Drosophila melanogaster: one gene and its partner. The protein of the gene in region 2 interacts with the protein of the main gene of each other region in a pairwise test. Each region holds a gene or a part of one and is shown on either strand. Other genes may lie near its edges.

Region 1 (16,889 bases), 9.1 Mb from region 2:
TCTCTTGTCTAAGACATGGTTTAAAATTAGCTGCAAACTTCAGTCACACGAGAGCCAGGCGTAAAGGAAATTAAATTTAACAACAGTTTTGAGCGACACCATTAAAGCTAGAAAATTTGTACGGATATCTCGCTAAACAAATCTTACTTAATATTTTCCAAGTCATTTATGTGCACTTTCTTCCGGTCTATTAACCGCTGCGCAATCATTAAACCCCAAAAAATATGGCCATCTGCTTTAATGAGGCGCAATCATCATCAAGTTTTCACTGACCATTTGACCTTTTCATTTGCCAGGCGGCAGGACTCCGATCAGAGGCCTTTAGTCCGGCCATTAAGCGAATGTCTGGCGCCAGGCAAACTATAAAATAAATGCTGGGGCGTGGCTCGGAGGCGGAGAAAACCGAAAAACCAACGAACTTCTTATTTTTCCTATACACAAAACGACTCTAAGAATTCTAGTCATTTTAGTTTTTACAACATATTATAATTAATTTCCATTTTAATGCGATCATATTATTTCCTTTTAAAGAATATTTATATATTTAAATCTGAAACGATTTTTTAAGTTCGAATTCACAAATCAAATAATTTTAAAAAATTTCTTTTGAAAACAAAAGTAGCATTCAGCCACAAATGAAACGATACCACACGTGTAACTGAAACTATAAGCTACACCTTTATTAAATTCGGCATATGGGAACTATATTAAAGATTTTCATTTCGATATGTGCCAGAAGTTCTATACCTCGCTAGAGTGTGTGGAAAAACTACCCACTAAAATGGGAAATTGCACAGCAGGAGACGAAAAAACCGAGAGCTAGTAGCGCTTAGTTTTTTATTGCATGGCGCCGCATGTGGCGGCTGCGGCGATTGAAGTGTCCCCCGAGAGGCAGGGGAATGGGACATGGAGCAGTTGGCAACGGGAGCTGGGGGCTGCAGGAGGTGGGAGGATAGGGGGCTGGGTGGCGCCGGCAGTACGTCCGGGGCACGAGTTTGGCTTTAGTGGCTCTCGCCCGTCACCGGGGCTCGTTAACGCTGAGACGCTCAATTTAGCGCGACTTATTCAGGTTGGCGCTCCGCTTGCCTCCGCCTGCGACCGTGTGACTGACCTTGATGATATCACCGCAGCCACGTCGTCGTGACCATCGTCATCCCAGTAGCAGTTCCCCTGCAGCTCCTTGCCGTATTCCTATTCCGTTTACATACTCAAGAACACATGGACGAAATTCATAGCAAACTTTTGGACCTCCGTAAAAACTTAGTAAATATAAACACAATAAGAAGAGGTGCATCTGAATATTTTTCTAAGAAAATTAAATTTTTAAGATTAAGATTAATTATTAATTATTATATTTTGATGTTTAACCCAAAATTGTTCCAAGTGGGAACAAAAAGCTTAACGCCCCACAAAAGTAAATAAAGATATTTGGTAAACAAAAATAGTTAATTGCTTATTAATGCCGATAGTTTTTTCTCCCTGCACTCCACGGCATGTGCGAATCTCTCTCGGGCGGGCTCCCAGCTCTCACGGCACTAGTCCTCGAGCACACAAGACCCCTGCCCTTGGTGTCGATGTCTTGGGTCTGCTCGGCTTACCCGTGGGTGTGCTGCACTTAAAGCCGAAATAAAAAATCAATAATCGGGGAATGGCAAGTCAACAGCCAACAGCAGCTCAGCTGAACTCAGGCGAAGCCGCCATTTCTGACTGTTCCTGCCTCCGACACACAAGCACTCACTCACGCAGACACACACGCGCGCGGGAAAGGACATGTGTGCAATTGTGTGTGTGTGTGTTTGGGGCAAAAGTTGTATATTAAGTAACCTGAGCAAGTTTTGGGGAGTCCCCGGGACACGTACGGGGCACACGACCCAAAAACGTGCACCGCAGGTCTCGACTCGAATTTATGGCAGTTTCACTCCATATTTATGTGTTTTCAGCTTGCAGTTGGTTATGAAATATATAGAGTCGTTAACCTAGAGAGAATGCAAAACCCTTAAAGAAGTGGAATCAGCAAATGAAATATGATTTGGTAATAGAATTTTAAAGATGGCAATAACAAGATAAATAATCTCAAAAGAACGAGAAAACTTACTAAATATAAAACTTATAAAATATAGATCCCATTTAGCTACTATTATCAAATATCAATAATCAGCTTAAATATTAAGTATCCGACCAGTGGTCTGTGGCTGTATAAGTAGCTTCTATGGACTGAATGATTATGAATACTCAACGTCCAGTCCTAACGGCCGGTCCTTTTCGATCCCTTCGTCCCTTTTCAACTGATGCCGATGATGATGCTGTAAAATGTCAAATGTGAGTGCTGCTTTCATATGAAATGACGCAAGAAATAAAAGCGTTCGCCATTGGGGCGCCACTGCCAAAGGGCAACCATCCATCTGCCAATTGCCGTCGAAACCAAGCATACAATGCGAAAGCCTGGCAAGTGACGTCACGGCCATAAAGGACTGCATACATGGTGAATATTTCCTGACCACAAAATCCAGGCCGAGGGACCCATCCAGCAGAACAGCAGAACAGCAGAATGTGCCTCAGGCGGGTTAATTAAACGCAAGAACAACATCAGCATCCTTTATATGCCCTGGACACGTTGCGCATACGACCTGTGAACCGTGCGCCCTGCCACAACTCTGACTCAATTTGAGCTATTCAAGCTGCATAATGCACTCGGTGCATCCATCGGCAACAACACGCATCAATGGAGCAACAAAAACAACGTCAACAATCAATATTGATGCCGGGCTAGCGATGATTGTGTTGATAACAAGCCCTGCCGTTGTTGCTCCCCCGATAATTATGCTCATAAAAGCGTAAGAGTTTTAATTGGGCTGCTTATTACAAATAATCAGAGCGTTGCCTGTCCGGGCATAGAAAGTGGATCTGAGGCCTGGGGACCGGTCATATCACATTGGGCGTGTGCGCTCGTGTGCACTTGCCTGAGTTATTCAATTTGCGGCATCAGCCAAATTGCAGCCACAGCAACAATTACGCCAATCACACGACAGCAACAATAACAATATGCAAAAATTAAACGGAAAACGCGTTGGAAATTAAATTGAATTTTAATTGGACCTCGCATCAATAATTTGTAATTTGTTACAATAATTACAAAGTTATTTAATATTTATGTAGACTCGGCGCTTGTCAATTAGTCTGGCTCATGCAATTAAGTTGATTAATAAATTATATTTCACGCTACGTGCAAACATATCCATATGCAGTTAATCGAAAAAAAAAATAAATTAATCTATATTAAAATCAAAGATTCAGTCATCTCATTAATTATGATTAAGATTTGATTATGCTCTAACGTTTCAATTTATTTCGTATGCTTTGTTTTACAATGTGAAGCTCATTAGTTTGGCAAAAGTTATATAAAAATTTGTATACCTTATAAAAGTATTTAGATAACAAATAATTCGTAATTCATAGTAATGCTTATTTGATAATCTTGAAACGTCCGCACTTATTTACGACATTTAAAATGGTTGGAAATTAACAACAGTGCGAGGTTGTCTCAAATCGCAAGCGCAATTTAAAGGTAATCTGTGCATGTTAAAGCAAAGCCAAAGTTGGTATCACCGGCGATAACAACAGCGAAAACCTCAGTGAGCGATTTACAAGCAAAGCTGGGCGAATACAATCACACTAAAATCGCGCATACGCCGCGTATTCCCCAAGAAACATCAGAACTTCGCATTTGTTTGCCTTTGAGTGGCACATGCGCCACACTTGGCACTTGCTTTTATTTTACCCTGGTTTACTTTTAATGCCCAGAGCAGCAGGGCTTACACACACACACGCTGGCTAACGCACACGGACACACACATCATGCGGCTTATTCCCAGTACACGTCACGGTCTCAAAGCGTGTGTGTGTGTGTGTCTGCGTGTATGTGGGTGTCTGTGTGTGTGCTTATAAGTGATTATCTGCTGTAAAAATGGCGCAGAAAGTGGAAGCTTATTTTCCCGTATACTGATGCGCATTTAACTCCCCAACGGGTTATAAAAATACGACACAACTATTTTTTAAGCGATCAGTAATTGGCATTATGTAAGTTTCTCAAAGCATATAAGATACACCCAATAAATTGAATATCTCAAGATGTGTAATATTAATAAATATTGAAATTGTGTTTCATAATAATAATGGCTGAGAAACGGAATTGCAATATAGAACATCTAATGATTACCTCTTGGCTTCTAGCCCTATTGCATTCGCTGCATTCTAAACCATACTGCTGCAACCGATTCTGCGTAGTAAATCCAATAAAATCCATTGGGACTGCATGCAGTCACTGCAGCAGAAAACAAATCGCGTTATTATCGCCGGGCAATGGCCAAGAGAAAAACACGACATTCCGTAGCCAGAGGCCACAGGAAAACTCATAAAAGTAGCCCAGGCACAGACAAATAAAAGGATCGCATAAAACTAATGTTAAACAATTCCCCGTTGCCCCTAAACTTGTGCCTTTTGTCTGCGGTCTTGTGTCTGTATTCCGTCTGTACTTTGCTCTTTCCTTGCCCTCCATTTGTGCTGCGTGAGCTTCTGTTCGTTTGGGTTCAATTCGGAAGCCCGGGTCTGTCGTCGCCCATCGTCATCGTCATCGCCGGACCCTTAAGACAATGATGGCTGGCCCAAAGCTCCCGAGGATATGCAATAAAATTGCGTTTTAATGCTGCTCTAACGGACGAGCAACGACCCATTTACCAAGTGCTTGTCTTCGTACGAGTGCAAACATACCCATCCATGGAGTCCGAATGCGTTGGACAGGATATGGGCAGCTTTGAGATACGAAGGCAGCTAGAATATATGCTTGGACCTGATAATATGATTTCTATAATATTACCTAAATAATTTTAAGACAATATTATAGCATTGTAAGATGGTCATGTTTCCAAATACTTTAGAGAACTCTTAAAAACAGAAGTCGATATTATTAGAGTATTGTGATATTTTCATAAAAGCTAGAACGAGAATTATGCAGAATTTCTAGAGTTTGAAACTCAATGGGACTTTCTTAAGAGTAAGAAACTTCGGATAATAAAAACATTTTCCTCTGGCCTTCCCTTAGCTCGTCATTCAATATTCATATTAGCCGAGGGTATAAAACTGTCCCCTTTGTTTCAATTTTATGGCTGCCTTTTTATGCTCGTTTGTTTGTCCTTCGCATTGTTTTATGGAATTTTATTTGCATATTTTCGCGTGTTACCCGCTCGGAACACGAATCCAAGACTTTTATGAGTTTGTCGATTCTCCGTGAAATGGGAATGCAAAAAGGAGCAAAGTGGAAAAGCGTTGCACTCCCCACGGACTGCAGGGAAACTCAAAACACGAATCCCTTGGTTGCCAAAAAAAAATAAAAGAAAATCCTGCCTGCCATTTCGCATTCAGCTTTCAGCGTTCAGCGAATTATTTGACGGCGCGCCAAATGTATATGTGTGTGTGGAATAATACACAAAACATAAATTGCACGGCGTGCGGAAAATCCAAGCCCAAAACGGAAAAGTGTAAAGCAATTCTCAAGTGTTTTACGCTTTAAGCATTGCGCCTTCGCTTTTTGTTTGTTTGCTTTCTGTGTGTTTGGTTTTTTGAGCTCGACCTTTATGTATGCCAAAGTCCCTCTGAACTCGAATTCGACACAAAGAACGGGAGTCGGAGTTCCCACGCCCGTCGGTTTCCTTTGTGATTTAATCATATTTTTGCAACTGATTCAATTAACTTAACATCGCATAGCTGATTTTATGTACGAGGCACTGGGAAATTGCACTTTCCCCCGCCACCAAAGCGATGTGGCAATTGCAGGCCGGCTTAATGGAGTGCATTGTGCGTCGAATTGATGGATTCGGTTGGATAATGGATGAAGCACTGATAAACGGAAGTCCGCAGCAGCGGCATCCTATTATATTATATTTAATTCCTGGAGGCAAACAAATGACAAATTGAATTAATGACCATTAAATGCGTTTTTGAATTGTTAAGCAATGCCTGATTGCAAAATGGAAAGTGCAACGTTTGCCCGGAATTTTTTATATCAAGAAACAAATTTATTTACCAGTTCCATAATAACTCTCGTTATTAAAAATAATATCACACATTTGTATTTGGTTTGTATGGTTTTTATTTGTATGGTTTTTATGTGTGTGGCAGCCATTTGATAAAATAAGATGGCCTTAAGGAATTAAAAAAATTTTTTATCGTGTCAATGTATTTAAACACTTTTTCCCGTATTTGCCAATTTTCCGTGTTAAAAGCGCATTCTCTGTAAACTATTTTTAAAGTCACATAGCTAAATTGAAATTTCGTTAAAAAGTAAATTAAGCTAACGAAAATGGTTCTGTGATTTGCAAAAACAGATAAACCAGATATTTATTGTACGAGAAACGAAAATAAATTAAAAACCAAGAATAAAACTGGCGAATATACTGAATGAAAAAATGTTTTGTATTAAATTTACAATCAAAGCGAACTAACATTCGGGTGGTTGGAGAAAAAATCCTGTGTAACAAAATATAAAATAATTGTGTAATAAAAGCGCATATATGCAACATAAATCTCAATCAAGAATGCAGTTCACAGACCCATAAAAAAGAAACCCTAACCATATCAGACACCCAAAGCCCAGCAAACTAGTTGTTCGCATTTGTATGCTCCCATGGATACTCGTGCATAGATACAGATGTATCTTTGGCGCTGGTACGTGAATAGTCCCCCAGCCTAAGCAAATTTATATAAAATGATAAACAAAAACAAAATACGGAATAGGAGTGAATCTGAATCTGTATCTGAGCCCAGCACGCAATCGCACGAAACTGGACAACTAATCAGCGTTTGAAACTAATAAGCCGCCGGTTGATGATGACGTGATGATCATGGGATGATGATGCTGCATGAAATGTGCGGATTATGGTGGATAGTAGATGATAGTATACTACACTAACCGTAAAGTGTGTGTTCGGGTTAAGTGTGATAAATCGACAGTTGAATTACGCGACATGTGGGCGACTCGGAGGACAGACGAGAGTGTGTGTGTGTCGAGCGTTTATCAAGCAAAATATTTACACACACACACGAATTAAGCGCACTCACGCACTCGGGCACACAATACTCAAAAGATGTGAAAAAGTGCGATGCCCAATGCACTGAAAAAAACGGCAGGCTTAATTCTGCTCAGCATTCAGAATTCAGAACGTGTGCGAATTGAACTAAATACTGAGTGAAGTTACTATTCTTACATTTTCAAAATTAAAAGTATTGGCATTTTATGTATTTCCGATTTTGCATACCTAATGGAGTCTGAAAGCATGATTTTTTTGAATACAATGTACCGTTTTACTCTATGAGATGAGCTCATAAAAGTGACATGGACCACTTTTGGAGACGGCAAGGAAATGACAATCACATGAATTTTTCCTGTGTGCCGGCGAGTGAAAGAATAAAGTAAAAGTGTCTTTTCATCAGAATTTTAAATGTGCTCGCCCTCGATGTGAGTTGCCAAAAAGTGTGTATAAGTTTGTGTATGAGAGTGGGTACAGGTGTGCGCGTGAGCCGACCGAGCGGAAGTTATGGAGCCTACGTGCCCCACAAATAAAAAAAAAAAAACCAAAATAAAAAAATAATTTCGCTTTCGTTCAGGGAAATTAAGGACGGAGGGCATTGGTTGGGAGGTGGGACAAGCGGGTGGACATTGAGGCAGCGCCACTCGATAAACCACCAATACAGGGACCAGGTCCTTGTATGTAAACAGACAAATTATGAATTTGTAAGACTCTCTCGTATATTTCCCGGGGTATCCTGTCGTTCTCCCTTTACCACTCTCCCTTTTTGCGTGTATTTGTGTGAGCTGAGGACCTCACGGATCACTGAGCTCATCAAAAATCGTTAAATGCTAAAATCGAAGAAGAAATTCCATAACCAAAACAATATCACTAAGGGGATGTTCCATTTTGATTTGTTTTCCCCAGCATTATTGTTATTACTTGAATTATATTGTTAAATACCACTTGTTAGGACAATACCAAAACATCATTTTTAATTAATAAACATTCTCGTGGGAGGAGAATCTAATCCTCTAAATAGGAAAATATTCTTTTAATATTATTTAGTCAAAATGAAAATGAAAAAGACATAGACCTAAGTAATAAATATTCAAAGCTATTATTCTGCAAGGCAATTATCATTTAAAAATTTGATTTTTTCAACAGATAACTTACCTCTTTGTGCGCTGAAACTGTTGTCCTCGGTCGCTCACTACATGACTCTGTTTATGTTTGATGTTTAAAACCTCTCCGACTCTCTGATTTGCCAATTTTCCAAGCTGTAAATAAAGTGCAGGGCTGCTTGCGTTGAATACTAGATTTTAGCACCAAAACTTCACTTTATCACACACAGAATCTGACTAATGAATTTCCTTTTCTGGCCGTGTTATGCCATATGCATGACAGGTATGTGTATGTGTGTGTTTGTTTGAAAGAGCTGGCTTGAGGACAGAAAGGGTATGGTGTTTCCCTTTAAAGATGTACGGTCTGCCTTCTTTTATCCTGCCTATTTTAAAAGTTTTTCTGGTTTTCCTTTTGGCCTTTTTTGCGCACTGAACTGAATACTAGTGTGGCGTAGTCCGCTCGATCCGCTGAACTCCGAAACTGTGTCAGCCGTTCAAAACACGACGATGTCTCTAGCTAAACTGAAGCTAAAAGGCATCGCAATGCGTACTTTAAACGGACATTGCTTTTCTGCTCTTTATTTCTCTCGGCAAAATAGCGGGACTATGCTTTCACTCTCTCTTTTCTCTCCCTCTCTCTCGACAGCTTTTGAGCGACTGTTATACCATCTCTCTCTCTCTCTTTATTTTTGGCCTGAAGCTTTAGCTTGTTTTTGTTCGCAATCAAAATCGGAAACTTTTTTCTGCGACATTTTGCCGCATTTGTTGTTGCTCTAGCGAGCCATACCAAATTTCATTATCTCAAGGGTCCGCGTTGTTTGTTTATTTGAGAGACCCTCCAGTTAAGCAAATATTTTTGTTTAATTGTTGGTAGTTCTTAATGAGCTTTTAAAAAGTCTTAAACATTTTTGTTAGTTTTTTTTTTATATTTTTGATTCTGTTTGTTTTCGTGGGGCAACCGAAAATCGATCGCACACTTTTAACACACATACAAAGTCAGCTCTCGCTCTCTTGCTCTCTCAAACACACACACACACTCTCATAAAAAGGCAGCTGATTTGCGCCGCAAAGTATGCACCACAATTGGACAATGATTTAAAACTCCTTTTAGGCCGATAAAAGTCTGGAATATTTTCGATTTGTAAACATATTTGAATTATTTTTTTTTTTTAATTTTTTGTATATGTATATATTTATTTTACAGTTTGTTGTTGAGCTCAACCGGATGAAAATCGGAACCAGCGTGACCGACGACTCGCAGCAGAATGCGGAGAATCGGAGAAAACAGCAGCCGACCACAACAACAGCTGCAAAATGCGGCGTCGGCGTCCGGGATGAACAACTTTTTGGCTACACACACACCATCATATGGACGGTGAAATGGGGGGGTGATATATTATAGGAAATTTGATATGAAAACATTGACAAGCAGCCGCATAAAGCTTCTTGCGGCACGAAGAGCTTTCCCAAAACGAAGCTGAGGTTGGCCAAGTTTTTATTCTTAGCGTCGATTGATTGCTGGCCGGGAAACCGAATGCGGCAGTGGCTAAGATAAGCGCCAAAAGGCATAAACGGAATGGCCAAACATTTGACTGATAAGTTCCGCTGATAAGGGCATTCACAATGTGTACGAACTTTAAATGTTTTTTCTTTGCTTTCTTGCTAGTATTGTAATTTAAGAATTGGGAGAAGAAATTTCATTAAACATTGTTTCGATGGAAGCATAGTATAAACGAATGATAACGACAAATGTAATAAAATTAGTTTAATAAAATTGTATTAATATTTTCCGTACCTTTTGTGTTCACTGTTATTGACTGTTGTTTCGAAAAAATGTTTATTTTTTTCACACAAATAATATCTACACAAATACTGTCTACACAAATACTACTTACACAAAGACTATCTATGTATTTGGTTTAAAAAGATTGAGTTCTCTTTTAACTAACCTTAGTAACCCAATAAATACTTTGCTTAACTCTCAGATCGGCCCTCGCTGCCAAAAGCTTTTTCGCGAAGCTTTCCTTCGAAAGTGCGCGTCGGCAGTGCGACGGGTGACAACCCTGCCTGCAGTGGGCATGCAACTTGTTGCGCCGGTTTGCGCTTCTCAGTCTTCATTCCATTCTCGAATCCCCCGGACGTCGACCTCCGATCCGATCGTCTACTTGGTTTGTTATTGTTTCCTTTGGCTGCCTGGCATTCGGCTATTAAGTTGTTTTCGATCTTAAATACGTGGGTGCGTGGTATACAGTATTTATAAAATACTTACGCATAGTTGGCGTACGCCTATTAATTGGCGCATACTTCAGATTCGGCTGGTCTAATTAATCCGAATTTCACCGTGTGCTAATTTCGCCAACCGGTTTGTGGGCGATCTGCAATTGTTTTTATGATGACTTAAGATGGGCGATGACTTAAGACGACACACCCCGTCAAGTGCAGTGCTCGCTAGCATTGTGATTTGCATAATGACGACACTTGTTTTGAGAGTACTATAATCACCACTTGATCGTGGAATTCGGCTCGAAATCGGCGGTCGAGGCCTCGACCTCATACTCTGCCTTATTTTTGCCTTATTTTGGTCACAATCAGTTTTGACGTCAGTGTTTCTAAAATCAGTCTCAAAACCGAGCCAAATCGGTCGTTAGTATGTTTGTCACGACCCAAAAGTGAAATCTAAATGCAGAAGAAAGCCATTCAAATGCATTTTTCGGTGGTAAAACCTGAGTGTATGCATATTTTAATAATATTTTCTAAAAAGTGAAAAAGTATTTTTAGGAGAAAGCCGAATATTTAATCATTTTATAGTGAAGGAAGATATTAACTAAAATTCAAACTTCAGTAATCTTCAAAGGCCTAACTCAAGGTCTACTTATATAATATATAATTTGAAATTGCATATGACTAAAAACTATTTATAAATGAGTGTGGTATGCAAACACAAATGGGGTTTACTGAAGGATTTACTTGCTCGAATAACTTGACATTCACTATCTTAAATGGGAACGTTGATACAGCGATGGAAAAAATGATTTAGAAATAGAAGTGACGTTTTAGAAGCTCTTTTAATTAGGTGGGGTTTATCAGAATCGTGTTCTATCGAAATGCAAGATTTAATTTGTTAGCTCATTAAAAATATTATGAGGTCACTTTTTTAAGGCGCATATCAAATTAATGACATGTGTTTTGCTTATTAAAAATATACGAAATGCAGAAATTAGTTTTATGCTCGAGCAAGCTCCAAGTCTTGAAGTTTTTAATGAGATATGCTCTATTAAGAAGACGACTGATAAGCTTCAGTTTTTTATGGATCTTTCCACTAATAAGATCCCTTGTATTTATCTTATCGCACAGCTGAAATCGCTCTGAACAAACAACACCACTCATCACGATGCCAAATCCACTGTGGTTCGTCTTCTGGCTGCTGGTCTTCTGGTTCGTCTCCTTCTTCGTGGCATTCTTCTGCGCCTTTTTCTACATCTGGGTCTACGCATTTGCCTCCTGCATTCCCGCCCTGACGGTAAGTGGGTTTTTTTTCTATTTTGGGGAGCAGCATTTGAAGTTATATGGCGGGGTGAGTCAATTTACCTGCTTCACCTGCTGGTTGCATGAGGCACTTTCCTTATCGCGCCGTCAAGATGTTTAACCCATTAGTCATTTGGGGAACTTATCAGACCCACAACCGGAGCTTATGGGAAACCGCGATAGCTGGCCCCGATATGTAGACCCACCCACACCCATTGCCTGGAAAAACATTGCTAACCGATTTGTTTTCTTACTTTCGCAGGGCATATCGGACATTCTGCTCCAGGGAGTCCAGTTCCCGTTCTACTGCGGGAAAGCCATGTTAGAGGGCAAGCAAGCTTTTTAAGGGGGATATTTCCCCAATATCAATTAACTAAGTGCCTTACTGATAACTCTTGTTTTCAATCATTTTTTACAATTTTACAAATAAAGATTTATTAACTTATATTTATAATTACTGGCATTTTTTCAATTGATTGATTCTGATTGATTCAATCTGATATTACATGTTGTTTGTTCGTTACAGTTGATAAATTCGCCTGATGGAGTGATTTTTACTATCTTTACCTACAGAACATACATTAAACTATCATGCGATAAACTTTTTATCACATGGTATTGTACATGCGTAATATTTACCCTTCAGAGAATTCGCTTTGTATCATTCACAATAAGTAAATCACAATTGTTACCCACACACAAGAAGTGGTTTCCATTGATTACAGCTCTTCCGTGATATCATTCTCTGAGAAAATTCACAATTTATACTTTGCTGGCAAACCAAGGTCAGGAAAACACTTTTTGAAATGCAGTTAGTGAAATATTAAAGCGAACCTAATACCTTAATGAGCCCATTTATTGGGCACTTAAATTTCTAAACGGATGAAATGTAATGAAGCCATTTCATAGAACAAAAACACCATCAGATAGATTTAAAGAATAAATGCACGCCACACTACAACAACTAATAAATAACTTTATTAATGAAAATCAGTTAACAAAATTAAAAAATGAAAGCACTAGCATATATTCTAATTGCCGTATTGAGCACGGTTTGGAACCGATTCCAAAGTCCAGGTGAATTTATTTGGTGGTAGAAGCCACTGTCGCATTCTGCTGACCACTGCCTGAGGCTTCAGCTGCTCCAGACCTGGAGTTTCCCGCGAGATCCGGAAGTCCGGCGACCTCAGAGAGCGCCTCCTGTTCGCAAAGAGCACGCAACTCGAGCTCCCCAATGAGCTGCATTACCCGGATCTTACCCTCGGTGGCCAGTTTGGGCGGCAAGTTCTTGACGGTGGCACATATGCTGTCGAAGAACAGCTCCAATGAGTCGCGCGGTGGCGTTATAGGTGACAATGGTTGCAGTTGATAAGATTGCAGCGGGCGGGCAGCATAGGAGGGCGTCGTGTGTATAGGCGTTATGGTGGCCTTGGAATTGATCTCCTGAGCTTGGCACATCCCACTGAGTGGAGTACTGTGCACTGGAACTTTTTTAATGGTGATCCTGCATGGCGGAGCTACTGTTGCTGTTGCTGAGGATGTGGGATAGGCGGAGACAGTGGTCGGAAGACTTTGAGGCCCCTCGTTGATGGTCACGTGTAGTGGCAGATAATCCAGCATGCCAGAATTCTGTGAGTCGGTCTCCGAAGTGCGGCGCTGCTGCTTAATGACGGGCTCCGTTTCGAGATCATTTTGTGCTTCCAGTTCTTGAGTCCGCTTCTCATCGTCCTCGCAGTCGCCCTCTGTTTCGTCAAGTTCTCCCTCCTCCTCATCTTCTGTCTCGTCGTCTTGGGGATCTGTTCCGTATTGTAGTAGACCCTCCTCGTCCTCGGTATCCTCCCACTTCATCGCACCGGAGCTGGATCCATTGAAGCTCGAATTGTTTGCCTTGGCTGGCAATGATTTTCTTTGTGCATTTTCCGAGTGCTTAATGCTACCCTCGTGCTTTCCCAGATCAGATCTCTTGCAGCTGAGCCTGCACTCGCACACCGCGCAGAACACGAAGTGCGGATCCGTCTCATCCGGGAGCAACCACGGATATATCGCCTGGTACTCCGGCTTTGTCTTGGGTCGAGGATATTTCAGCAGGGCGCACGGCCGGCGTGGCCTGTATTCGGAGCGTAGGGCATCTCTGGGCGGCGAATATAGTCAGTGAACATAAGACCCTGGTCTCTTACTTTGGTATACTCACAGTTTTTCCTGAGTTAACTGGAGGTTTGACATTTGGGTAGTCTTTTCCAAAATATAAACAAAATCCAGTGAGGTATGACCGTGCGCACATGCATAGAAATACCGCATAACCCGTTTTGCACATGCTGTAAGAGTTGTCACCCACACCGGTTGTTTGTTTCTACACACTTTATTTTAAATATTCAACGATATATGAATCATATGCTAATGCATGTAATTTCTTTATATGCTTTCTAAGCATAATGTTCATGTAGTTATTAAATAAATAATTGCAGTTATACTATGAACAGTACGTTTTAAGACCGTTCTCAATAAAGTGACCAGTCCAGTCCCTCAGTTGCATTTTATGTATTTTTTGAACTTCCTTAGTATATGGTCCTTAGCCCGCCGGTTTAATGCAACAGTACGGTCACATTGGCCATCGCCTTGACAGCGATTCTGAGTTTTCGCTTGCGATTATTTTTATTTTTTTAGTTTATAACCGTATACTGTGATCTCCCAAAAGCTAACAAATATTAGAGCAAAGTGCCTGGATAACCAGTATCTCGTGATGGATCGGGATTCGAGCATGCAGGCGAAAAACCTAGATGCTCAATGCAACCCAGACCTCAAAATGGCGTCTGCAAATTCAGAAACTTTAGCGTCGGCAACGCACGAGCTGAAAATTATGGACGTAGAGGGTGGTGCTCTGGTGGATCCGGATCACATCGAGGAAGTGGAGACCTCCATGGTCATCGTGGTGGATGATGACGATGGGGATGTGGCCATGGTGGTGGAGGAGGACAAGCACCCGATGCGGGATGACCCGTGTATTGAGGACATCATGGATGACGAACATGCTCCATTGGTGGCCGAGCTACAGTCCGCTCTAAATAACCCAGACGACAAACAGGCCAGCGAGGATCCCCTCCTGGAAGACCAGGAACGTGAACCCGATGCCATGTCCACTAAAACTGAACCCTCCAGCGATGCGGAGAGCTCCCATTCGTACCACGATCCCATGGGCCTGCTGGAGAGGATTGAAATCCATGATCCGGGAGACAGCCAGGATGACGACGACGAGGATGACGAAAGCAGCAATGGCGGTGGCGTTGACGGAGGCATGCGCCGCAAGATGCCCCGCGCACAGCGCTGGCTCCTCTGGATGAAGCGTTGGCCCTGGATCCTACACGAGGACTCCGATGGCACCTTAGCGTTCTGCCTTTACTGCAACATATCCATTAACGTGAACAACCGCTCTAGACACATCCAACAGCACAACGTGTCGCTCTCCCACCAGGAACGCGAGTGCAACTATCTGGCATTCAAGAAAAGTGAGGAGGAAACTCGAGGAGCGTAAGTGTCACAGTTTTAAAGATTACAAAAAAGAGTACAGAAATCTAAAATTCGGAGAAATCAAGTTAATTAATCCGCCGTATAAAGTAAAAGCTCAACTCTTCAAATGCCTTTCACTTTGTAAAGGGTTTGTACCGAAATCCAGAAAGCCCACTGTAGTGTGAAAAAAACTGCCAACTTAATGAAGGGAGCACTGCTCCGAGTCCGCATTAATTTTCCAACGTGTAGCAATTGTTTGACACAAAGAAACTGGTGTATGATAGGCTTGGTCGCGGTTCAGAATAGATTTTACATATATTACACTCCCTGCTTTCAATGAGGGTAGCTCTACTCGTAATGTTAGTAAGATTTGCACCTTTAAAAAACGAAATACCGAAATCATATTGAGATCACCGAAAGTTTGCGAACACTTATTAACTCCCAATTATCCGTAGAATCAGCGACAACGAAATCAAGCACGAATTCGGCACCAAGAGCTATGTGGCCGCCATGAAGCAAAAACGAATCTCCGAGACCGAGGCATTTAACAACTTCAACTGGCTGCGTTGGCTCCGTTGGCATCCTTGGCTTGAACGTTCCATGCCCACAGGGACCATCGGGACATGTCGCATCTGCAGCGTGCGAATGAACGTGGAGTTTGTCTATTTGCGCAAGCGCCACGAAACCACCAAAGGTCACATGGAGGCACTGCGCAACCTAGATTCCGATAAGCGGAGTCGGAAGCGAAAGAGGAGCAAGAGCAACAGCGTGACCAATAGCGGCGGGGATGAGGCCGAGCGAGAGAAGGAATCTGAACCAGAAGTTGGGCCGGAGGATGCTCAGGACACCCCTGTGGTTATGATGAACGGCGATGTGGACTCAGGCGACGACCCTGGCAAGTGGTGTGCACTGATTCCGGACACCAATCCACAGCAATGCCGATGTACGCTCTGCAACTGCACAATGGCGATTACCAGCTTCCTACGGCACTGTAAAACCAGAGCTCATTGTCACATGCTATCGACACCCGCTGAAAAGGGGTGAGTTGACACTCCTACAGAACGTAAATAGCACCTGTTCTTTAACTGCTTTCACTTTTTTACCTCAGCTCTTCAGATATTCGCGGCATTTGGGCCGTGTTCGCCGACATGCATCCTTGGTTGATTGCTGATCCCGAAGACCCCAGCATTGGGTACTGCAGCGTCTGTCGCAAGCGATTCATGTATGGAAACTCAGAGATCAAGCGCAAGAATCACGAAAAATCCGAGAAGCATACCTTGGCTTTGGCCAGCGCCAAGGCAGGCATCGAAGTTGGTTCGGCTGACGGCAGAGGCGGCGATAACATGGATGAAGAGGAAGCGGCGGCAAGTGATCAAGCCCAGTCATCGCAGACCGATGACAGCGAAGATAATGACGATGACAATTGGTCCGAGATCCAAAAACTCGGAAAAGGGTATGTTGCTTAAAATATTTTTAATTTTTACTTTAATAATAATAATTTCGTATAGTTTTGCTCATAAGTCCTCTAGCGAGCCAAGAAAGGCCACGGTTCGCGCTGGGGTACGTTTTTACCCGTGGCTTTGCTACTCCAAGGACCGAAAGACTCAGATTTGCAAATTCTGCCGCGTGCGCTTTCACAACGAAGCGGCAAAGGCGCGGCATGAGTTGAGTGCCC
Region 2 (16,812 bases):
GTCCAGACGGCAGCATAATCACACGAACACACCCCCAATAAAGCTGGCCCATTCATTCACACAGATACTATTTGCTGGCTCGGCGTCGTTTTGGGTTTTTGTGTTTTGCTCGCCACGTTCTCGTTCGCTTTCGCGTTTTCGGTCCCAGTTCGAATCCCACTGGTTCTCGGATTCTCTTGCAGATTCCCCGCCTATGTAGGCACCAGTACCAGGTAGCCGAATACTCGGGGGACACCAGATACTTCCTAGACGTAAACAACGCGCGCCCACACCTTCGCCTTCGCATACTTACGCCTGAATTTCGCGCATTGTTATTCTCGTGGGTTGTATCTTTTTTCGTATCTTTTTGTTGTATCTCTCTATTTCGTTAGGATTTTCGCGTGTGTTTACTTTGTGTTGTGGTTGCCTTTATATACGTTACAGTTTGCTCTTCAAGAACTTGAAGAAAACCATGGTCTTCCCGTTGCAGCTGCAGCCACCACGTTCCTGTATCTTTCGGATGCCAATCCGCACTAAGCCCGATTCTTATTGGCAAACAATTTTATCGCGGCGCAGTTGGTTTTTGTTGTTGTTGTTCGTTTATTTTGTTGTTGCTTTTGTTTTTTTTTTTGTATTGTTTTGCGGCTGCGGCGGATATTTAATTGTTTTGTTGTGCTGTCGTTGCCGCCAAACAGCTGATTCGCTGGGTTTTACGCTCAATTTCGAATCGCGACTGGGGAAAATCAATAATAGTAACATTTACTGAAATTTTCGTATTTGTTTTTGTGTTTTCGCCATAAAATTGAGTTAAAACGAAGTGTTTACATTCCAGTCAACATGGTTGTCTAATTGTAAGTAAATGCATATTAAGTACTTATTTCGATTTTGGGCCCAACTTATTTAGCATCTACGAAGTACTTTTAATTACTTGTTGCTTTGGTTGAAGTGAAAGGTGGTGAGTAACATGTTTTTGAGTCAAACATAACATTTTGCATAAAGAACCTTTTGATGGCAAAAGTAACAAAAACAAATTTGGCTAATTTCTTTTTTAAAATTTGCCATTACAGTGTTCATCTTCATTTCGATGAAGATAATCGTCTGACACGCTCCTTTCGACAATTCGTTTTTAAATTTAGCTGATTTATTAAATAAACTCACCTGAAAGCTGTTTCAAGTTCGCATTGTATAAGTAAAACATAAACGTATGTACGAGCCATGTTCTATATTTTTTTTTATTGTGCGGTATGTCTTTTAGATAATAAAAACTTTTTCAATTCTGCAGCTGCAACTGACGAAAACTGAGAAACTGGATCTCAAGAGTCTGCAGTCTGCTTACCTTTCTAAGCCAGGCTTACAAAATTAACATGTAATTCAAGAACCAACCAAAGAGCCGCGTATCTGACTTACAAGAGGATGTCATAAGCAGAGATCAAAGCAAACACGATTTACTTGCGTTTTAATAAAAAAAAAAACATTTGAAATATTTTAAAATATTGTAACCAAAAAAGATGCAGGGTATTTTAAACTTTCAAATATGTCCAAACTTACCTATATACGCAATATTAAGTTATTAAACAATGTTAAAGTATGAAGTACTTTATTTGGAACCTAAATATATGAATAAACTTTTCCTTTCTCCGTTATATAAATAAAACGCCTTATAAATGGAACTTGCAGAACCTAGATATTATACCATAGACGGGTTAAGTTATGCCAAGGAATTTCAACTTCAATTTGTGTAATCTGCATTTGTCCCCATCGAACCAAGTTTTTCAATTATAGTTTTTAATTTCGGGGTAACGGTGCTCAGACAGCAGTACGCGTAGCGGGTATGACAACTTCGAGTCGAGATTACCATCTATTGCTGCTCCGTGGAGCGTTTGACAATGTGGCTCTCCCAGTCCACGAGACGGAGACGGAAGCCAAACCAAAGCCCAGACTGTGGCCCTTTGGTATAAAGGTTTTGGCCTAAGCCGATCGTGGTTCAGTCTGCAGAGCTACGCGCGCTTGGAAATCTTCGGTCTTCGGTCAGGGGTTACTGTGTGGAGCGTATTTGGACTAGATTGGCGAAGACAACTCCTATAGCCTGTAGTAGTGTATAGCGAGTGATCAGGTGGAAAATGCATCTTCCGGCTCTTGATGACTTCTATCAGCGTCTTCTGTTTCTGCTGCCGTTCGCCGCAAGTGAGTACCGAAATGCAAGCCAGTGAGGTGTGTCGCATCCAACGAAATACGATACAACTGTGGATCACCTTGGTATTGAGACGCCATCGATAGCAGACTGATCGTCGTCCCCAGACAACGTGCCCCAGATCTTGAGATTTTTCGACCCGGAACCAACCTATTCACCTATTGCGTAGCCTTTGCCCGTACGGGAATTTATGAGCCATCCCCTCCGGCTGAACCGAACTAAACCAATCCGAACCGAACCGAACCGAACCCTCATATGTCACACTCGACGCCCATATAGCTGTCTCATCGCGGTTCATCTAATGGATAGCAAACAACCCGGTGGCTGTAAATAATAACAATAATTAAATTTGCATCCACAAATGCCCCATGAAACCCAATGAGCGCGTCAATTTCGGGGGCGGAGTAGATGTCGAAGTACCATCCATTGTTATAAGAGCGGCGTGTGCGATCCATCGCTCGGAACAATGTAAACAAAAGGAGGTTTCCATGGTCCGGACCCAAAATCAAGCAATTATGCTACGCTTAGACATAATCCGTAGGCTCTGCGAAATAGCTGAAATTGCGAAGACGTTTTGGGAAATTGGCAAGTGCAGAAATTGCTCCAACGGCCTTCCTAATGGTTTTGCAAAGTGACCACGTCCATTGGTGGTGGATGCTCTTGGGTATTTCGTCAAATATGGAGAAGCTCGCCCAAGATAAATCAAGAATGTGTGGGAATTGTAAAGACTTATATAACTTTGTTACAGATTTCAGATCGACTGATTTCGACTACAAATCCCCGGAGAGGTGGCCGGAAAAATACCCAAATTGTGGTGGATCAGAACAGTCGCCCATTGCGATTAGCAGACGCAAGGCGATACCCCTTAACTTGCCGCCTCTGATTTTCGCACTTTATGATGAGTTCTTCGATGAGCTGGTGACAATTAGGAATAGTGGACACACAGGTTTTTATAAGACGGACTTCCAAGTGAAAGGGAAAACTAATCCATTTCCGTTGATAGTGGAATTTAAGGTTCCGACGACGATCTATGGCGTGAAGCCCTACGTAACAGGAGGTCTCTTGCGGGACTGCTACGATGCCGAGGCCGTGCATTTCCATTGGGGATCCCCCGAGAGCAAGGGCTCGGAGCACCTGCTCAATGGACGCCGCTTTGATCTGGAAATGCACATAGTCCATCGGAACACAAAGTATTTAAACTTGGAGGAGGCTGTTAAGTACAGCGATGGCGTTACAGTACTGGCGGTGCTCTTTAAGGTTGTTCGAGTAAGTAGAGATGCGGGATTTGCTTAACTTTACCGCTCTACTTACCGATTTACCAATTCACTTTTTAGTCGGGGCCATTCTTTTATCAGCCCGGACTCAGTGAAATCTTTAGTTCCCTCCTCCATTTGGGCAACTTTAATGCCAGCTACACTGTGCAGGAACGGCTCACCCTGGGATCCTTGCTGGGATCTCTTGACAGGGGAAACTTTTACACGTACAAGGGCTCCCTAACGACGCCACCATGCTCACCGGTGGTTCAGTGGCACGTGTTCGGTGAGGTCCTTCCCATTTCGCACCAGGATCTGCCCAAATTCTGGAACCTCCGAGATGAGCGCGGTCGGCCGTTGCTAAAGAATTTCCGGCCACTACAATCGCAGGAGAATCGACTGATATTTCACCGTCAACATATAGTGCCGCTGCAGCAGGAGCATCTCCAAGAACTGATATGGCTATAGCCATTAGATTAAATCTAACACCCTCTATGTAAATGAATTCGAACACCCTTTATTTAGATTGAATCTAACACCATTTATTTTTTAAAAAAGTAAAGTATTCTATATCATGCTTCTGATGCTGATGCTGATCATGCTGCTATTGGGGGAATCGAAAAGCCGAGCTACTAATCTAGGACTTAGTCCTTCCTGCAAGCGAGGTAGGAGGCCAGCAATCCCAACTGCAAGGCGCAGAGGATCTTTGAAAACGTGGGCGTGCGTGGCACTCCCATCGGCAACTTTAATATGGGTTTCGGCAACGCCTGACAGGGCAGAGCGGCAAAGTGCTTGACCTGTATGTTGGCAACCAGGGAGTTGCGATTCAGCTTCAGAGTCGTGGGCAAAGACGACCACTTAGCTGCCGGAGCAAGGTGTCTGTCCACTGGCGCGGTAGTCATCGTATGGAACTCATGATCCCGTCCATCGAAAGGTGGTCGCGGCACGCGTACTCGTGGATTGATAGGCGGATGAAAGGGCGGCGCCACGACTACTTTGCGACGCTGATGGCCCAGTCCCTGGTAATCCCCCGTTCTGTCCTTTTCGAAGCTGGTGTCCATCGGTGGCCTAGACTCCAGATCCGGGTCAGCGCTGTAGGGGTTATGACCCTTGTAGCTAACCCGACGATCCTGACCCTGCCGCATAACGCTGATCTTCTTACCCATTTTTTCCAGCTGTGCCTTCTGGTTTTCTATAATCTGACGTTGCTTCTCGAATTCGTTCGTTGTCTTAGTGCTATCAGAATCACTAGATGGTCTCCTTAAGCTCCTTTTTTGCTTCCTTTTGCTTTCCTGCTTACTCAAACTAGCTGGTGAAGTTTCCTTTTTAGAATGTAACGACTCATTTGGCTCGGCCATGGAGACATCCTTAGCGACTGGTTCAATCACGGCCTCAGTTTTCGAAATCTTTTTACGCTTAGGTACCTCTTGATCAGAAGCTGACTCATTTAGATCCATGGCTTCGTCCTTGTTTCCAAATTCGACGGGCGCATTTGTGCGGCGAGGCTGCTGTTCCTTTGGCGACTGTGGTTTTGTTTGTGGCGAGGGTGGTGGAACAGATCTAGGTTGATTCTGGAACTGTGGACTGCCCTCGCGGATATGTGATTGTTTACTAGGCATTGTTACTGGCAAGGGGACTGCGGGGATTTGGTTTGGAGTGGGGTTAAGTGGTTGCTCCGTAATTTTCTTAGCAGCTTCTGGATTAGAGTCCTCCTCGGACAGCACCTCATTTGAATCATTACCCCTGCTTGCGGACATCACATCCAAATCATGCTGCAAGGCTTCTTTTAGTTGATAATTAAGATTCTGCAACTTATCCTGGTCAGATTCGCTAAGTGTTTCCATCCTCTCGTTGGCATAAAACTTTTGCTCGTCGGAATCGATCTTTTCATTGTTCATTAGCCAATCCCACTCGTGATGGCCAGTTTCTTCCGTCTTGATATGGCTATGGGGGCGCAAGTTGACCTCATCTTGGTTTTGATCCGGCCTTTGCTCGCTAATCAAGTTGATCTCCTTTTCGCTCTCGGCTCCGCTAGTCTCTTTCAACTCAGCTCTTACTTGAACAAGTTCTCTATCCTGATACCTATCCACATTCTGGAATCTATTGTCATGCTCTATCGGAAGCCTGGCGTTACCTTCATTGGTAGTTGAATCTTCAAGATCCGCTGAAGAATAAGGATGGTGGGGTTTATCTGTTTGCTTTAGCTTTTGCCACTCGAGCCTCTCCTGGAGCTCCAAGTTCTCTTTAGTGTAAGTAGGGTCTTTTTTTCCTATAGCTGGCTCCTCATCCAGATCAAAGTCATGTTCGTCTTGAAGTTTCACTTCAATGTGCTTCTCGGACTCCAAGTGCTCCCTGGAATCGGTGAACATAAGTTCTTTAAGCTTATTAGTATCTGATCTTAATTTATACTGATGGTTATCTGTTGGTTCTTCAATGGGTTGCTCTTCTTCCGCGTTGTATGCAACAAATTCGGATTTATCTGCTGAACTTTTCAATAGGCTACTCTCGTCTTGCATTTCGCTTTCAAGTTGTCTATTTTCTTCGTCCATTAGACTTTTTAGCTGAGCAGATTCCTCATCTAGTTGGCTTCTAATTTGGGATGGTTCCTCATCTGCTTGACTTATAGGTTCATAAGCTTCCTCTTGTATTTGGTTTTTCAGTTCCGAAGACTCCCCTTCAACTTGGCTCTTCAGTTGCGAAGACTCAACTTGGCTTTTCAGTTGGAAGGGGTCCTCCTCCATTTTGCTTTTTGCGATAAGGTTTTCCATTTTTTCTTTATCACCGAGAGCCTGAATTGTTTGTCTTATAGATTTTATAAGATTTTCTTGGGCTTTAAAATTGGCCGCTTCTTGTTTATCAATCTGCTCTTTAAGTTGATTCACTTTTAAACGCTCCGTGAAATTTGTCTCCGCATCTTCCATCAGCTGGCTATTTTGTTTTGACGAATGTAGTGGCTCAGATTCGCAACTCAAATCCAGGACATCAGGCGAATCCTTCGTAGTCAAGCCACTGGGAATGCTTTTGCTGGACATATGATCGGATTCCGCGGAAGTGTTCGTTATGTGTCCGTGGCCTATCCTGGCATTGTCATCCTCTTGGCCCGCAGTCAATCTTGATGAAATAACTGTCAAGGCTGCATCGCTAGCCATTTCGTCTTCCTTCTCTAGCAAGAGCCGCACTTGGCGATTGCCTTCATCGATGTCCATTTTAAAGGCCACCCCAACATTCCCATCCCGGATGTCATTATAGAGCTGTGCAGCTTGCACGCTCAGACGGCTTGGCATAATTTCGGTCTCAAGACAGGAATCTCGTGATGCCACTTTTTCATGGTACGTCTCCTCGACGTCGTAATCGTTTACTTCTGTCCAATCGTCCATAACCTTGAGCTGCTTAATGTTTTCGTTCCCCGCCTCCGTCAATATCTTATCTAAAGCAGTCCTCAGTTCGGGAAGGCCTTGGTCCGTTTTTAGCTCGTCCCTTTCATGGTTCAGTAAATGTGAAATGGATGAACTGCTGTAAAAGGAGTAATGATGAGTTAAGGGTAATTTGAACATTAAAATCTCTTACCTTAGATCCGGGTGGTTTCTCAGTGCCTCTATCATCAGTTCCGGCGGAGCCTCACTTTGGCATATAAGATGGATGGCCGTGAAAAGCGGAAATCTATAGTTTTAGAAGTATGTTTATTAGGGTCTTAAAATCTAGTTTATACGTACTCGTGTTGCATAAGCCCATTCTCCAAAAATGCATTCACATTACTGGCCACCATGGGACCCAAAAGCTTGCGGCCACTATGGAGGTTTGCTTCTATTTCTTCAATGGTTTGGCCTGATGTTACTAGGCTCTTTGCAAATGTGACGTTTTTATCGACTTTAAATTAGCGCAGTTGATATTATACACTTATTAATTGATTCATTTTTCTTTGTACATACCAAAGCTGGAAGCCACCGCGTTGGTTACGCCACAGCTCTCATAGAATGTGGACATTTTGGAGGAAGGAAAGAACGTCTTAATGAACCGCATAATTTCCTTGACACCCAAGTGGATGGCTGCCAACCGTGCATTCTCACCCAGACGCAGACCATCTATGAAACCCGCTCCCAAGGCAACGACGTCTGTGAGCGTTCCACACAGCTCTACTCCGTCAACGTCATTAACAGAAATAACTCTGCAGTTATTGGTTTGCATAGCAGAGATCAGCAGCTTGGAATGAGAATTATCGCTGCAACCGATGGTCACCTCACACAGCTTTCCCTGTGCCATCTCCATGGCACTATGTGCAGACATCATAGAGTAGCACGGGATACCCAGACTCTCGCTAATGGCGTGCGAAACAAGCTCAATCCCCTCCCCATTCTCGCTCAACAATCCTTTGGTCATGGAAACAGCAAAGGCCGACTCCTTAACATTACCAGACAGAATGTTGCAGTAGGATTGCACGAACTCCAGCGGGGTGGAAAATACCAAGATATCTGCGTTCTGGGCAGCTTCCAAAAGATCATTTACAGCGATCTAATACAAAAATATTTTGTATAATGCAGATACCAAAACACTGCAAGAATTTCCTTACCAGGTTATTGGGCAGCTTGATCCCAGGCAGATACTTGACATTCTCGTGACGAGTGTTTATGATCTCCGATAGGGCAGTGTCCCGAATCATTTCATCGTAGACATATAAATGCACCCGGCTGTCGAAGTCTCCCTCCAAGACATTGTTGCTCACGACGGCGGCAATGGCCGAGCCCCTAGAAAAGCCATTTGAAAGCAGTTAAATGTGTTTTAGACTTGGTAATTGAAAGAACTTACCAGCCCTCAGCCCCAATGATGCATATTTTCAACTTTCCGGCCATTGATCCAACTTTAAATTAACGAACAACAATAATTTAGGGCCGAAACGCGACCAAATGACCGCCTAAGTGTTAACTGGATGTAGAATGCTTTAAATTTTTATTATGAATTTTGATAGTCCAGAGTTAGGTGGCGTCCAAATGTGAAGTGTATAGGATGAGTTAAGGTAGTTGAAAGGCAAACACCCAACCTACTTTACGAGCAGGGACGAAACTCGTAAACAACCCCGGACGCATTATCCATTCTGTTCTGGGCCCGCATTTTGTGCTCCTGCTGGGCCTCCATTTCTGATATGGCGCGGATTTCGAACTCGGTGATTATCTGGGAGATGCGGCTCTTGGCTTCCGCCGCCAGTTTGGGTGGCAAGCCTTTGACACTGATGCAGGCGCTCTCAAAGAAAAGATCGTAGCTGTTTCTCTGAGGAACAGGGGAATCAGCCGCCGGTGGAGCTGCATTTGGTGAAGTGACTTCATCTCGCTGGGAGCTCAACCTTTTGAAGTACGCCGACAGCACTTTACGGTCTTGTTCGATGCTCTCGACAAGTTCCTGGCGGTTCTGCGGCGTTGGCCTTGAGTAGGGTAGCTGTCTTTTCTGTAGGGCTACGTTGTTCCGTTTGATGAGTAGCAAACTTTTCCTCTCGGTCTGCAAATGCATAATTTCGTTTAAATATTTGTAAATTTAAGGGCAACTTAGTAATTATACCTCTATATGATCTTCTTTAATGTATGAAGCTTTCTGCTCTTCGTTGTCGCCATTTTCAGAGGTCGTTTCATCATACACATTTGAAGTGTTCCACATTCTTATGTTATGAATATTTTGTCACTTAAGCCTTTAAATTGCATTAGCTGCTTCAAATTTAATAAACATTGGAAGAAAACACAGCCGCGCTTTGGAGATGGCAGTAGCAGTAGCCTCTAGCCTATCGATAAACAGTCCGATACCATTTCTCGCACCTATTTTGAATAGTTTGATTCGTATATCTAACAAATAAAGTATATTTGCATTGATCTTATAAAAATCGATAACATTTATTTTTAAATTTAAAATTAATGTATGCCTCTAAATTCATGCTGAAGGACAAGGGATTGTCATGATGGGCGCAGTGCGAGCGATTCATTAGCTTGAGGGTTTGGATTCAGTGCGTCCGTTTGGCTGGTTTCACTGAGGCCGCGAAGCTCGAGCTCACAGATCAGCTGCGATACTCGCATCTTGGCTTCCGCTACCAACTTTGGCGAGAGGGCTTTCACGCTGGAACTGACGCTTTCGAAAAACAGATCCACATGATTCTTCTCCTTGGGCGGCGGTGTGTGACTTAGGGTCCTCTGGCTTCCCATCAGCTCGCGGAAGGATTCCATGAGTTCGTTTTTGTCCTGGTGGATCTGCATTAGTAACTTTATGCCCTCCTGCTTAGAGGCAGAAGAGGAGCTGTCACTGCAATTGGCATGGCTTGACGGGGGTTCGGTCATCTTTGTTGTGACCTCTGTCTCTGATAAGAACTCCTGTTTGGGTACTGTCACCTTCTCACTGGCTGCAGAACAGAGGCTTTGATCAGCAATGGCCATCACGGGCATAGGCTCTGGAGTGGAAGGCGGCTCCAACTCGTGGTTCTCAGCCAAGGGCTCCATCACTACCAATTTACGCTGGTGATAGTACTTGCTACGCTGCTGGCGAATCCGGAACTCCTGGACCGCCGCGCCTTCGCCCTTTGTGAGCAGAGCCTCCAGATTGCGCTTGTGCTTGGTGGTTCGCTCGTGCCGCACCAGGTGGCATCGATTGCAGTCCATGGTGCACTGGCAAGCGCGGCAGAATGGCTTGTTAGGATCCTCGGCCGCCCGTCGGAGCCATGGATCGAAAATCTTGAGCCACTTTTCGCAGAACTTCTGGTTATATTTAGGTTTCAGAGTTCTGTGCTCCTTGTCCAGCTTTAAAGATTTCTTAGCAGTCCGCGCCTTTAGCATTTTGTCTGTCTTCCTATAAGCGAAGCATTCGTATAGAATTTGAGAGTTTCCGGCCTCAAGGACTTACCATTCAGAATCGGAGGTGTTTTCCGAGAAGCTCATTTTCGTCTTTTCGAAGTTGTTTACAATGGGTTTGTTGTGATGTTGTGATTATAGGATCAGCTGTTTCAGGCAAGCGTCATCGGTAAATACTGGTTATCGATAACAAGGCGCGAAACTTTAAGAGAATGAATTATATTTACTTCGATTAATTCACCGAAGGCAAACAAACACATTTAAAAAAATAGAAATAATACTAATAGCTAGTACAATTAAGTTTATATAGGTAATTTATTTTGGGTGTATTTTTTTTAAGATATATACAACACAAAACATTTATATAGTAACATTTGTACAATATTTTTAGGTATTTACTTTATTTGTTAAAGGCATTTGTTGGTGGTCAAATTATGAATTTAATTTAAGTGCTGCTTACAATATTCCCAAATAAATAGTGATCCAGCCACATGTACATTTAGAGAGCGCACTAAGCCATACTGGGGAATTTCGACGGCGTAGTCCAAGAATCCAATAAGGTTCGCTGGTATTCCATGTTTTTCATGCCTGAGGAGGGATGCAGAACAATAAGTTTTCAAAAAATACGCCCAAGATGTTGATTACGAACCCCAAAAGAAGAATGCTTTTCTTGGGAAACTTAAAGTCAACAAAGTTTGTGCTGTGTGCAGTTTGCTCGGCGCCAACGATTTTATAACCCTCCATTTGCTTTTCCAGCAGAAATCCAGCAAGCGATTCTGGATTCACTTCAAGTATGTTTAAAGTTTTCTCAGCAGTCATGCTAAAATAATATAATTATAATTATATAAAGCAATATAATAGGGCTACCGCGATGTTTGACGTGCATACCTCAAGTTTGTAAAATCGCTTTTCTCCGCCTGTGATTTTAAACCCAATATTAGGGTATTAACGCCCAGAACTTCACAGGTACGCGCCAATCCGCCCAGATTTGGCAATTTGTCTATGAGCGAGGCCACCACAATGAGTTCGTGGTCATCTCTAGCTTTGTTCGAAACAACAAAGTCACTCTCCGGATATATATCTCCGACGGGATTCATTTTTCGCTGCACATTTCCGTTTAATGCAGCCAAGGACGTTGCAAGCTCAGGTATCAAAACCGATTGTTTCCGTTTAAACGTTTCAAGGGCGCGCTTTAGTTTCATTCGAAAGTCATAGGAACAACTAATAAAACTGATGTTTTCATCAAATGGTGCATTCGTCATCATCAGAATGCAATCCGAAACGGATGTCGGGCATTGTTTGCCTAGTTCTGGTAACAAAAGTCGAGCTTCGCACTGAAACTCAGTTAATTTTTCGCTCAATGTAACCTTGATGGATTTCTTCAATGCATCAGCTATTGGCATTTGAATGCTAAAAATATCAAAATATTAATAAAATTCGGCAACAAGTAGTATATAATACTAATTTCATTACCTTCGATCCTCGCACTCGCTACAAATCCGATGCAAAACCAATTGGGCCAGCAAACGAGTCTGAAAATTTGCTCCCATTGTGAGAGGCAACAGGACGGCAAATACTTCGACAAGCTGTTCATGTTGTATGCTTTCCCAGCGAGTCAAGCAGTATATGTGGACTACAGAGACAAGCGAAATTTGCTGGCTCGGTTTTAGAGTTGCCAGTAGCTTTAACTGCTCCAGCAATAGATCGATGCTTGGCAGCATTTTGGAGACAAGGTACTCGTACATAAAGCTAATGTTAGGCTGATCGCTAGGGCACAAGACGGCTTCCCACAGGTTGTCCGACCACTTCCATCTGTCGCTTAGGTCGAGCAAAGCTTTGCCTATTCGCATTTTCATTCTGTGCTCTTTGCAGTTTGCAAAATAGCGTGGTTTTTTTCTGGACAGCTCATTGTTCATTCTAAGCAAATCGTCACAGATGAAGCTGATATCCAAACCAGTGCTGTTCTTCGCATATTGAATAAATTGCACACGATCCATGGCTCCAGTATCCGAGATTTGCTCAAATGCGCGTTCAATGCTGCGGAGTTATTATTAACGTTGTATATAGTAATTTCACGAAAAAAATATTTATTCTCTTGCCGTGCATCGCCAGTAGTGGTTTCTCCCTGCAGCATTCTTTTTATAACAAACGAGGTGGGTGCCTTAATATATTCTTCACAGTCCATTGTACCCAAAAGAAAGGTGTTTTTCTCCAAAACGTCCACTACGCACTTTTCATACTCTTCTGACGAAAGATTTTGCACTGCATATTTTAGGATGGCTTGTCTGGGAATCAATGAATTAATAACTTGACTTACAAAAATATAGCGAATATATTACTCACGTTTCCCTGACCTTTAGTTTTCCCAAACGGGATATAAAGGCGGGCAATACATTTTGGTCAGCCAATTGTTCATCATGCGTGGACAATATATTCGACAAGGTGGCAAATGTTTCTTCAGTACCCCGATCCAAAAGTTCCAGGGGATTTAGGTTAAGTACTTCTAACTTGCTCCACGTTGGAAGATTTATCTGTACGAAAAGATCCACAGAGTGCTCGAGCACAAAGGACTTCTCTTCTCTGGTCTGGCAATCCAATCGATTAAGAAGGTGCTGCTGCATCTGCTCTAGACTCACACCACTTTCAAGAAAAGATGTATCTAAATCATAGACAGAGCGATAGAAATCTAAATACTGTTCTGGATGATCCAGTTCCCGATGCAGAAATATGGGTAAAAGTCGCCACCAGCCATGTTTGGATTTTGGAACTGTTCGTAATTTCTCCAAGAACGCAACAAATACATCGTGTTTATAGTCCATTTGAGATACAAGTTCACAGCAACGAATGTTGAAACTAGCAATATGTTTTTCTAAATTGCTGCAATTTCTTATTTTCTGTGCTAGTTGTGAATGAGATTGATACCGGTCGATGGTATTGTACAAAGACTCCATGAAGAGGAGGTAATCTCCCAATGACAGGCTGTCAATCGTCGCCTTTAATGGGATTAAAGTCAAAAAATTGTTAAAACTTCTATATAAGTTAAACTTACACTTAAGGAGAAAATCACATAATTGATGGCTTCACCACGCAAAACCGGATTTTGGAGGGAACGAACGCGAGCGCCCAACTTAAACAGCAGCTCCTTGGAAACCACCGGCAGCTGCTTTAGCTCCCATGCTTGAAGCCAGTGGATCAGGGGAACTGCATGCCACGGAACGCAGACAAGCGCTTCCAGCAATATCTCTGCCGGGAATTGTGCACTAAAATCAGTTATTTGCTGCTTAGTGAGGCAATCGGGCACCTCTGGATTGTACAATTGCGTCCGATTGGTAGCAGCAAGGAATTGTGTTAGAAGATTGAAACGCGATATCTGTTCTAGGCTAAAATGGGATAGGAAGTACTTCAGGGTCCAGCGCAACACGAGGATGTTGTTGTCGCCCAGGAGGCGTATGCACAGAATCCTTAGCCAATCCAGCCAATCCTCACTCAAATTGTTAGACATCAGGCCCATGCGCGGCAGCAGGGTGCTTAAAGTGGGCAGCACAAGATGGGACTGCTGCTCCTCGAGGTTCTCCATGATGCCCACATACGCGCTCCACTGAACCTCACTGCACTGGAGAGCGGCAAGCACTTCGTCGATCTCCTGCAGCTTGTGCATAAGAAAATACGCTGAGCGTCGATCATCGCGCACATCAGACTGTAGAAGATTCCGCGTTAGCACAAGCAGTTCCTGGGCGCATTCCGTTCCCAAGTTGTTGACGAAATCATCGAAAAGGTGTACCAGGATCTGGGCCGCATGTGGTTGCCGCTCATTGCTCTGACTCAGCGACCAGAGCTGCTGCAGCACGAACTTGGCTTCGATACGCGGAAACTTCCGTATATGAAGCTGCACGCAGACCAGTAAATTGGCCACCAGTTGACGCCGGCTGGCCGAATCCTCACGACTGTCGGCAATCACCACGGAGACCAGTTTGTGAAAAACTTTTGGGCCAAAGCGGACGTTATACTTGCTGTTCGTCTGCAACAGGTTGTGGATGCACTGCAGCACACGCTTCAGGGCCAGCTCGTTGTCTTTGTGCATGGACACCAAATCGTACAGCATGTCGTCCAGCTCAGCGATCTCGCCAAGCAAATTCTGGTTCTGAATATACGTTTCCACAGCCTGGACCACAGCGTGAGTGGTCGTGGCCGTGGTGGCTCTGGTCGTGGGCAATGACATGGTAGTACCTTTTTCTCGCGATGAAGAACCCTCTAAACTAACCCTTTGTTTGGTTTAAATACTGTCAACATCAAGCAGCTGGGAGAATTAGAATTTCGCCATTCCTCATCATGTGGTGAAATCACTTGCATACGATTAATATCGAATATTTCATTATCTTCATCATGTGGTGAAATCAATTGTAGGCGATTAATTTCGAAAAGTTGACTCTATAAAATATGACTTTTAGAGGTGATGTCCAATGATTACAATGACTTCGATCTTATCAGTGGAGGTGTGAACGTGCATAATGACATAGTTTAATTTGGTTAGCAGGTATGAAATTATTACTTTTCAAAGAACCGATAAGCAAATGTGTATTTTCCAATATTTATCGATATGCCCAAATTTGAAAATTTTCCGTTCGCGCCTATAGTCAAATAACTCGACAATAGCGTTCTTTACATTGTTTTACTAGAAAATTTAAAAAATTCCAATAGTTTTATATAATAATTTGGAATTCGGTGTGTAACACCGTATTAAAAGTTAAAATGTTCCATATAAATCTGCCATTAGCTTTCACTTTATTTCTTGCCCTTTTTTGATTTGTCCGGATCCGAGAGAGATTGCTTTAGTTTTTCGCACACAGCTTTCAGAATCTTATCAGCCGATTCTGCCGCGGCTTTTTCTTTTGCATCCTCTATTTTCCTGCACATCTCTGCTGCCTTCTTTCTCTTTCTTTTCTCCGCAACCTGTTTCCATTTGTTTTCCATTTCAGCTAGCTCCCTTTCTCTTTCCTTTCTCTTGCACCTTTCAGCCTCTTCCCTCTTTTTTTTCGCTTCATTTCGTTGCTTGCACTTCATTAGTTCTTCCTTCTTTTTCTCTTCCTCCTTCAAACGCTTGGCCTTCTCAGCAGCTTCCAGTTTGGCCACTTCTGCTTCTATTATCTTAAGTTCTTCTTCATTCCTTTTCTTCTCTTCAGCCAATTTGCATTTCCTATCTTCTTCCAATTTCCTGCACTTTTCAGCTTCCTCTTTCCTTCGTTCTTCGTCCGCTTTCCTGCATTTTTCAGCTTCTTTCCTTTTTTCTTCAGCTAATTTGCACATCTGTTCAAACTCTTCTTTGCACTTCCTTTCTTCAGCTTCCGCTTCTTGCATTTGCCTGCACTTTGAGATTTCGTCATCTTGCTTGGGACATTCTTTCTTCGGACAATCTTTCTTCGGACAATCATTCTTCGGAGTATCATTCTTTTTGGGGCAGACCTTTTGCTTCTCTTCGAACTGTTTACATTTTTTGGCCAGTTTTTGCTTCTGACATTCTTCCGCTTGCTGGAGCTTTCTGCATTCCTCCTTTTCAGCCCTCTCCTTGCAGCTCTGCTCTAGGGCCAATTTTCGGCATCGCTCATCCTGATCGCGTTCTTCCTTGGTCTGCTGACGGATAGTGAACAGCCGGAAGGTGATCTTTTCTGCCGACATGGCATTAACCAGCACCACCGATCCTTTCTGACCCGGCTCCAAGATGTCCATCTTGCCCATCAGCTTCAGGCCCGACTGCATGATGCGTCGAAAGTTAAAGCTGCCAATAACCATTTCCTCAACGAGGAGTGGGTAGATGCCGCGAAAGAGCAGAGACTGGGCCGCCTCGGATTCGTTACCCGTGAGCATGACAATTGGACATGGCGGCCTCATGTGACTGACCATTTGGGCCACCATGGAGCACGGACTGGCCACCACAATTGCCCGGGCTTGGCCCACCGTGGCCGCCTCCGCGATCGCCGTGGTAACTGCCGAAATGTGGTCGGCAGCACTGGTCCGGATTTCCCTTTTAAGGCTGTTCTGCAGGCTTTCGTACCATAGAACTGCTTCTACTTTGGCACAGATCCTGGCCATGCACTGGACGCACTCCACCGGATACTTGCCCTTGGCCGTTTCACCGGACAGCATTACGGCATCGCAGCCATCGAAAATAGCGTTGGCCACATCCGAGGCTTCGGCACGAGTGGGTCGCGGCTTGTTCGTCATCGACTCCATCATCTGGGTGGCACAGATCACAGGCTTGCCCACCTTGTTGCACTTAGCCACAATCGATTTCTGGGCTAGGGGAACATCCTCCGTGGGTATCTCAATGCCCATATCACCTCGGGCCACCATTATGCCATCTGATTCACGGATAATGTCGTCTATGTTTACCAGACCTTGGTGGTTTTCAATCTTAGAGATGATCTTTATACACGCTCCAGCCGGTCCAAGTACTTGGCGGATTTCCTTCAGAGCATTTGCGTCTCGTATGAACGATGCGAAGATCATGTCCACCTTTTGCTCGGCCCCAAATTTAAGATCCTGCTTATCCTTCTCCGTTACGCTGGGAAGATCT

Evidence for each region.
Region 1: the proteins of CG34149 (region 2) and Ravus interact in a two-hybrid assay, tested with the Drosophila melanogaster proteins (one large-scale study listed by BioGRID).

Annotation. Positions count from the first base shown.
Region 1 is NT_033777.3:13,250,066-13,266,954, forward strand, and holds Ravus (ravus), read right to left. Parts: upstream 13,997-16,889; 5' UTR 13,934-13,996; coding exon 13,902-13,933; intron 13,842-13,901; coding exon 12,794-13,841; 3' UTR 12,668-12,793; downstream 1-12,667. Other genes in the region: CG11686 (uncharacterized protein), read left to right, coding at 11,577-11,705, 11,973-12,056; Su(var)3-7 (suppressor of variegation 3-7), read left to right, coding at 14,451-15,235, 15,670-16,254, 16,323-16,667, 16,723-16,889.
Region 2 is NT_033777.3:22,373,683-22,390,494, reverse strand, and holds CG34149 (uncharacterized protein), read right to left. Parts: upstream 10,368-16,812; 5' UTR 10,329-10,367; coding exon 10,294-10,328; intron 10,240-10,293; coding exon 9,357-10,239; 3' UTR 9,242-9,356; downstream 1-9,241. Other genes in the region: CG7059 (uncharacterized protein), read right to left, coding at 422-453; CAH8 (carbonic anhydrase 8), read left to right, coding at 2,100-2,163, 2,919-3,116, 3,174-3,436, 3,505-3,891; Gpdh3 (Glycerol-3-phosphate dehydrogenase 3), read right to left, coding at 4,068-6,936, 6,991-7,083, 7,137-7,290, 7,353-7,932, 7,991-8,165, 8,227-8,270; CG43342 (uncharacterized protein), read right to left, coding at 8,464-8,910, 8,971-9,066; CG18596 (uncharacterized protein), read right to left, coding at 10,682-10,829, 10,891-11,061, 11,130-11,651, 11,715-12,278, 12,341-12,526, 12,585-13,234, 13,291-14,460; CG7069 (uncharacterized protein), read right to left, coding at 15,024-16,812.